Linked DNA regions of Macaca mulatta. The protein of the gene in region 1 interacts with the protein of each later gene in a biochemical or structural test. Links are inferred from orthologs where the notes say so. Each region holds a gene or a part of one and is shown on either strand. Other genes may lie near its edges. The genes, in order: SEMA4D and CD72.

Region 1 (4,482 bases):
GCTTATCCTAAGGATCGCCTTAATTAGCGTGCCGAAATCACCACCCGGCTTCCAGGGAAGGCCCTGGCACACCCTCTCCACCTGACTGAATCAGCAGCTATCTCCTCCTAATAAATCTCTGCTTTCCCATGTCATCTCCCAACAGCAAAGTCCCCAGCAAACCTCTCCCTGTCGTGTGCAGGGGAGCCTGCTCCTCCCTTGCTCTACAAGCTCAGCTCTTGAGTGACACCCTGAGACGTCCAGGACAGCCCCGGACCCTGAATGGCAATAGTGATAGGGATGGGGATGCAATGGGCAGGGCTGAGGAGCTGCACCTGCCAAGCCCAGGGCGGACCCTGGCCCAGGGAAGAGAGGACCCATCCCAGGTGCCTCTGCCACCTCCCTTCTCACCTTCCAGTTTTCTTCCTGGAATCGTCCAAGTTCAAAGAAGAAATAACTGCCCTGGTTGGGAACAGCAGGCAGCAGCCTTTCTCTCATCAACTAAGCTCAATAGTCAGCCCATGGCACGTTTATTCCTATATTTCCACATGGCAAGTTTCACCCCCATGGGTCCTAGCTCCAACCCCGGAGCTCTGGCTCCAGGGGATCAGGAGGAGAATCTGCAACCAACCTCCTGGACCCAACCATCCCTCTCTCCCCACCAGAAATGGAACCAAGAGAGGCAGAAGCCTGAACAGGCTCAATCCAGAAGCACAGAAGATAGAGAAAATCATTGATCTTTGCAATGCATTATTGATTCTGCTGTTGTGCTGGCAGCCGCGGATGTTCCCTCCCTCCTCAGTCAAAGCCGGCCATTAGCGCGCACTCCCAAGCTTTGGCCTGGACGCACCCGCTTGGTGTGGGGAAAGTGGCTCTAGATAACACCTGCCTCCAGTGGTCCGCATGGAAAGGACTGTCCACAAGTGGATGATGTCACCAAGGACATCTCCCTGGCCCCAGACCCACTGGACAGCTAGTGCAACATGGTCGCTGGTCTTGCACTCCAAACGCTGAGTGCCCAGGACCCCCGGCTCTCAGAGAGGGTCTGTGCAAGGCTGCATTTTCAGCAGACTCTGGGTGTGCTTGTCAGGAGCTGGGCCCCCTCCCATGGAGTGCCTCCCTTGTGCTGTGCTGCAAAACCCTGGGCTAGCATGGCAGCTGGGGCTCGGCTTCCCCACGGTGGCCTTTGCCTGTCTGCACTCTGACATACAGCCACTGAGCTCCTCCGTCTACCAACTCCTGAGCAGCCCACCCTCCTGGGACCCCAGGGCTGCTCCTGGCACCAGTGATGTGTTTTTATTTCTTTGTTTGAGTTGCTGAGTGTACCATGTACACTTTTCTCAGTCTGAAGGTCTGGCCTTCTGGGGGGGGCAGTCTTTGCCCACAGAAACAGGCCAGCGCATCCCTCATCCTCCCACCCCAGCCTCCCTGAAGGGTATGCTGAGCCCGCCTGCTTTCTTCTTCTGGCTGACGACTACCAAGACATGATATACACAGACACCAACTGTCAAAACGACAATCAGGGCATTATCATCTCTACCAGAATCCTGCCCCTGCACTGGCCAGAGCTGCCTGTTTCTGGGACACAGTAAACATTACCAAATAACCTCGCCTGGGCAGCCAGCAGGCAGGCCCCAGGCCTAGGACACGTATGAGGTGACAGGCCACTGGTGTCACTTCACCCCCAGGAAAGGAAACTTCCGTTCAGTGGCGCCTGGTGGATTTGAAAAGACTCAGAGCAGCAGGGTGAGATGCTTGGCCCCAGGCCCCACGTCCAGCTTGGCCTTCGGGGGCCTGGCCACCCACGAGCCTGGGATGTGCTCAACACAGAGTGAGGTTTTCCAAACAAAAGCAAAGCAACTTCATGTGGCAAACGTTCCGGAAAGCAGGACACAGCCCTCAATACCAGGCCTCTTTTGACGCAAACTGCCCACCTACAGACTCCCATTCACCCACGCCCGCACCTATCCCCCAAAATACGAAGCCAGATAAATAAAGAGGACAACCACGAGCTCAATTCTCCTTTACATGTTTTTACTGGCATAACCCCAGTAGAGCCAGCCCCTTGCAGCTCACCAGGCGGCTGCAACAGGTGCAGCCCAAGCTAAGGCTTGTGGTTCTCCTGGGTTGTTCTACAATAATGCAGCCAAAACCCTAAAGGAAACCGAGGCCTGCAGCTGCAGCACTCACTGCCAAGGCGGCGACCTGACCACTGCGGCCCAACCTGCCCCACCTGTCTGAGTGCGCGGCGCCGGGTCCAGTGCACAGGGGCCGCGGCCTCCGCAACCAAAATAGAAGCCCGCGGGGGCCCGGCCGGAGCCCGGGCTGGCCGGAGCGAGGCCTGACCTAGCGGGGCCAGACCGGGCGGGCCGGGGCGCGACGGGGCCTGGCCGAGCGCGCCGCCCCCTCCCTGGCCGGGGTCTGCAGCGCGCCCCCGCTCCCCCGCGCCCAGGGGAGCCACCTGCGCGCAGGGACTGGGGAGCCAACCGGGAAGGGGAGAAGGCCGGGAAGGGATCGCAGAGGGGTTCAGGGGGTCGGAGGGGTTCAGGGAGGGGTCCGGGTAGGTGTCTCCGGGAGGCGTCCCGGGAGGGGCCCCGGGGGGATCCAGGAAGGAGTCCAGGGGTCCGGGGGATTTTAGAAGGGGGCTCCTGCAGGGGTTCGAGGAGGGCCCCGAGGGTCCGGGGAGGAGCCTAGAGGTGTGGAGCAGGGGCTCCGCGGAGGGTCCAGGCCGCCCCCAGCGCACCTGCCCAGCCTCGCGCGCCCTCCCTCCCGCGCCAGCCCAGCCGCTTACCTGGAGCGCGCCTCCTGCTCTCGGCGGCTCCCAGCCGGGCGAGTTCGGGCGCCAGGAATGGCGGCGGCGGCGGCGGCGGCGGCGGGAGGCGGCCGGGCCAGGGAAGGGGCGGCGGGGAGGCCCGGCGGCGGCGACTGTGATGCTGCGGCGCGCGAGGGCGCGGAGGCCGGCGCGGGGACGGAGGGCGCGGGGCGGGCGCGCAGGCCCCTCCTCCGCTCCCCCTCCCTTCCCGCCTCCTCCCCTTTCCCTTCCCCTCCCCCTTCTTCTCTTCCCTCCCCTGGCCCCGCCCCTTTCTTCCTCCTCCCTCCTCCTCGCCCCTGTTCACCTCCCTCCTTCCCCTCCCCCAACCTCTCTTTTCCTCTCTTCTCTTTTTCCTCGTCTTTCTTCACCTTCGTAACACTCTTCCACCTCTCTCCCCTTCTTCCCACTTTTGCTTCCCACTCCTTCCTCCTCACCTCCCATCTCTCTTGCCTCCCCGCCAGGCCCAGAGGGTTATCCCTCAGCCCTGGCTTGGTCTGTGCTGAGTCAAGCACCCTCCCAGAACCAAGAGGTGCCCTGTCACCCTCTTCCTCACCAGCTGTTAATAGACAAGCTTGCCCCTTCTGGGGTCCTGGATGAACCCCACCCTTTCCAGGCCTCCCCCAAATCCCCCAGGTTTTTTTCACCCCCAGACCCTGAGCCAGCTCTTCTGAGAACCTGACCTGCAGTGTGGGTGTGGCACGTGGCACCCAGAACACTTGGCTGCTGACTTTGGGCAAGAATATTTCACACCGGACTGCTCCTATTCCCCAGGAGCAGGGGCTGGCACCACCTGGAGGCTTGGTTTCCCTGAACCCCCATGCTAGCCTTTTGCTAAACGTTCGTTTTCCACTCTAGATGGCAAATGGTCCTCCTGTGAGGTTGCTGGTGAGGCGTGTTTGTGACTAGCCCATGGGTTTGGGGATCTGGGGGCCCTCAGAGATGGTGCTCCTCCATCCAGACCTCCTCCCTCTGCCCCCAGGAGAGGTGACAGGGCTGGCACGGTGACTGGCCAGGCCGGCAGGCCTATTGCGGAACACAGTCCTGAGAAGGGGACTCCGTTCCTAATGGAACCGGCTAGGATTTCCCCTAAATGTGAGGGGTTGGGGAGCCCCTCTCCAGGCCAGGTGATACCTCCCTGGACTACAGACTGCTGTTGAGGGCCAGGGGTCCTGAAGCTGTTTTCCTGCTGAGCACTGCTCTGAGAGCCAGAGTTTACAAATGAAGCCTGTCCCAGGCCCAACAGTCACAGAGTTAAAGACCCAACAGTCACAGAGTTCCCTTCAGGGGCCTCCTGTGGTTCCTGTGGTTCAGTGCCGGAGCTCTGACAACAGGGCTTGGGCCCAGCAAGGACTAAGATGGCAAAGCTGGTGTCAAGCAGGGTGGGGTGCAGCATGCACCCCCTCCTCCCTCTACCGCGTGGCAGCCACCACCCTCCGCTGAAGAGTCAGGGCCTGGAATCTGATAGACTCCCTTGACTCACAGCTCTGCAGTTTCCAAGGTAACCTCAGGCCTCAGCCCTCTGTACCCCGCAACGGTCAGTGTGGTCATCCTGGAAGGTTTGGGGAGCACGGAAAGAGAATGGCAGGTAAAGCCCACTGCACTGTGTGCTCAGGTTCAGTGCTGGTGACTATTACAAGAAAAAACTAGAGGAGAAGTCTTTTCCAAGCTCTTTTCCAATTGTATGGGTCCAC
Region 2 (3,257 bases), about 56 Mb from region 1:
TTTTCATTAATTTTCATTATAGCTGAGATCTCCCCAAAGGGTAAGACTGACTGACATGGAGTGCAACCTGGTGGTGGGGCAAGGCAGTGAGGCTCTCAGCACTCACAGTGAGGTGGAGCCTGGAGTTGTGGTGTAGGGAACTAGGATGGGGTGTCCATTCATTTTGAAAGCAGGACCCCAGCCAGTAGGTGGAGATGGGGAAAGGGACACATAAAAGAGGCAAGGCTGTGTCAAAACAGGCTGAGGGTCTAGGCAAGGTGCCAGGCCCAAGGGGACTGGGGTGTTTTTGGGCTATGATCAGGTTTAGGCTCTGTCTAGCTTGGGGTCATCTGGTCGATCTCCCCAGGCATAAGACAGCAAGATTATGTGCAGACGCCCCTTGCCCTCATTTCCTTAACCTGAACCTCTGTGATCATCAGTTCCATGCCAGGGCTGCCCATTCTCTTAGCAGCACCTTAGACCTCTACATCCCAAACTGCTCTTCTGGCAAAAGGATGGTTTCAGACTTCCACTCTGATCACAGCTGCCCACCACTCCTCCAGGTTTTCCCCAAACTTTTTTGATCTCATTGAGGCCTCCAATCTGCTGACTCCCCTTTTCCTCCCTTCCCATCAGCTGTCTCCTGTCCACACTTCTCTCCCTACCTATCATGGGTTTGGAGCCCATCACTTTTACTACTCACTTTTTTTTTTTTTTAATAGAGACAAGGTCTCACTATGTTTCCCTGGCTGGTATCGAACTCCTGGGCTCAAGCGATCCTCCTGTCTCAGCCTCCCAAAGTGCTGAGATTACAATCGTGAGCCACCGCACATGGCTCACTCGCTTCTTTGTTCCGTTATCCTTCTAGTGCACCTGATGGGCAAAATTTCAACTCTGGATGAACCCAACTGCCCACAGTCAGCACCAAGGTGTGACAAATTGTGGAATCATTTTGCTCAGTGCCACTGAGACTGTAGTCTCTCAGCACTGCCTGGCAACCTCTGCAGTGGTTAGCTTGCTCTCCATAATAACTCCTTCTCCCTCACTTTCAGCACATGCCCTCACCTTCCACTCTGAGAGGAATTCCCTCCACTTCCCATCACCAAGTCTATAAATCCATTTGGATTTTCCCCATCCTCATCTTTTGCAAGGATAGCTGCAACAACTTTCTAAATGTTTTTCCTACTCACTCCTCTCCCCGCAGTCCATTCTTCATATTGGAGCCAGGGTAATTCTTTACAAAAATCTGATCATGTCATCCCAATCTAGAGCATTCCAGTTAATTGATTACATAAACAGTTATGGAATACATAACAGATAATATGTTCTAGCACTGTGCCCAGGCACTTGGGATATAGCTAGTGAACAAAATTCCTCTGTGTAAAATCCTACACTGACTTTCTCTTTCTCATAATATAAAAATAAAAAATCCTTAACATAGCTTCCAACACCCCTGCCTACCTTTCAGTGTTCCACTTATCCCCTCACTTTCTTCCATTTGGCCATACGGATTTCTTTTCTTTTCTGTTCTGTTCTTTTTTTTTTTTTTTTTTTTTGAGGTGGAGTCTCACTCTGTGAGACTAAAGTGCACTCCCAGGCTGGAGTGCAGTGGTGTGATCTCGGCTCACTGCAACCTCTGTCTCCTGGGTTCAAGTGATCCTTTTGCCTCAGCCTCCCGAGTAGCTGGAATTATAGGTGTGCACCATAGTGCCTGGGTATTTTTTGGTATTTTTAGTAGAGGTGGGGTTTCACCATGTTGACCAGGCTGCTCTTGAACTCCTGACCTCAGGTGATCCATCCCGCCTTGGCCTCCCAAAGTGCTGGGATTATAGATGTGAGCCGTTGTGCCCAGCAGGGATTTCTTTTTATTCCTTTAAGTTGCCATAGGACAGTAACTCAAGGGAGTAGCAGGGTGGGGACATGAGATCATGTAGAGAGAACAGAGGGAGCTAGTGGGGAGTGAATGATTTTTGAATGATGAAGGTAGGACTGATGGAACAAAGCAATGGAGAGAGGTGGTCTGGGGATCAGAAGTGCAGATTGGGATGTAGGATGTTGAAGAAAGAGGGATATTTATTTCTTATGGATAGTCAGGAAAAGAAGAACAGAGAAGAGAAATTTTGAGGGAAATGGAGAGAGCTGTTTCTGCAAAACAGGACCCAACATTTTCTGCTTGTAGGAAATTGGAGAGGGAAGGAGGGGGCCAGTGCTGGAGGAGTGGAAGTCTTGGATGTGCAGTGGGGGGTGCTTTAGGGAGTGGAGGAGATGGGCCCAAGAGATGTTAGGTAAAGTGTCAGGGTGGACTGCAATTGTTCAGAAATTGGGGTAATAAAATTAGCCCTATTAAGACAAACCTCCTAGATTGCTAAGAAGTAATGTTGTTGAATGTTAAAGTCTTTTTACTAAGTAAGGACAGGTACGGTGTTTCCAGGGGATGCAAAAGAAAGAAAGATTGCAAAGATCATAGAAGTCCATGAAGGTGCTGAGATTAGCCCTAGGAGAATATTGTTAGCAAAAGATTGCTGAGTAGTTACTTTCATCCCAACTGTTGCTGCTATCACACTCTTTCTGCTTTTTAGACACCTGCTGTCCGACGGGATGGACAGTGCATCAGAAAAGCTGCTTTTACATCTCACCTACTTCGAAAACTTGGCAGGAGAGCCAAAAACATTGTGAAACTCTGTCTTCCAAGCTGGCCACATTCAGTGAAATTTATCAACAATCAGTAAGCATATCCTTACTCACAGACTATGGTGGGTACTATTCGGTAAAGGGACATATGTCATCAAGTCAGGAATGGCAGTGCATACATGGCTGGGGTGGCCATTCCTTTTCCGTGGAAGAAACTGAGAATCACAATACTCTTGAACTCTGAGCTTGGAAACAACCTCTGCATCTTCTCAGCACAGTGGTCCAGGCAGCCCCTACTAACTGATTAGAGTTGGCATGAGAGTAGAAACTTAGGAACCATATCTACATTTTTTTTTTTTTTTTTTTTTTGAGGCAGAGTCTCACTCTGTCACCCAGGCTGGAGTGCAATTCCATAATCTCAGCTCACTGCAACCTCTGCCTCCTGGGTTCAAGCAATTCTCCTGTCTCAGTTTCCCGAGTAGCTGGGACTACAGTCACACACCACCACGCCCAGCTAATTTTTGTATTTTTAATAGAGACGGGGTTTCACCATATTGGTCAGGCTGGTCTCTAATTCCTGACCTCAGGTGATTCACCTGCCTCAGCCTCCCAAAGTGCGGGATTACAGGTGTGAGCCACCGCACCTG

The links.
Region 2: the proteins of SEMA4D (region 1) and CD72 form a complex in vitro, tested with the Homo sapiens proteins (2 studies listed by BioGRID and IntAct). The link is inferred for Macaca mulatta from reciprocal best matches to the Homo sapiens genes SEMA4D and CD72.

What each region holds. Positions count from the first base shown.
Region 1 is NC_133420.1:120,172,495-120,176,976, forward strand, and holds the start of SEMA4D (semaphorin-4D), read right to left. Parts: upstream 2,936-4,482; 5' UTR 2,771-2,935; intron 1-2,770. UniProt on the Homo sapiens protein: Cell surface receptor for PLXNB1 and PLXNB2 that plays an important role in cell-cell signaling. Regulates GABAergic synapse development. Promotes the development of inhibitory synapses in a PLXNB1-dependent manner.
Region 2 is NC_133420.1:64,082,640-64,085,896, forward strand, and holds part of CD72 (B-cell differentiation antigen CD72), read left to right. Parts: intron 1-2,558; coding exon 2,559-2,704; intron 2,705-3,257. UniProt on the Homo sapiens protein: Co-receptor of B cell receptor (BCR) that plays both positive and negative roles on B-cell functions. Recognizes the Sm/ribonucleoprotein (RNP) self-antigen ligand, and coligation of CD72 and BCR inhibits BCR signaling.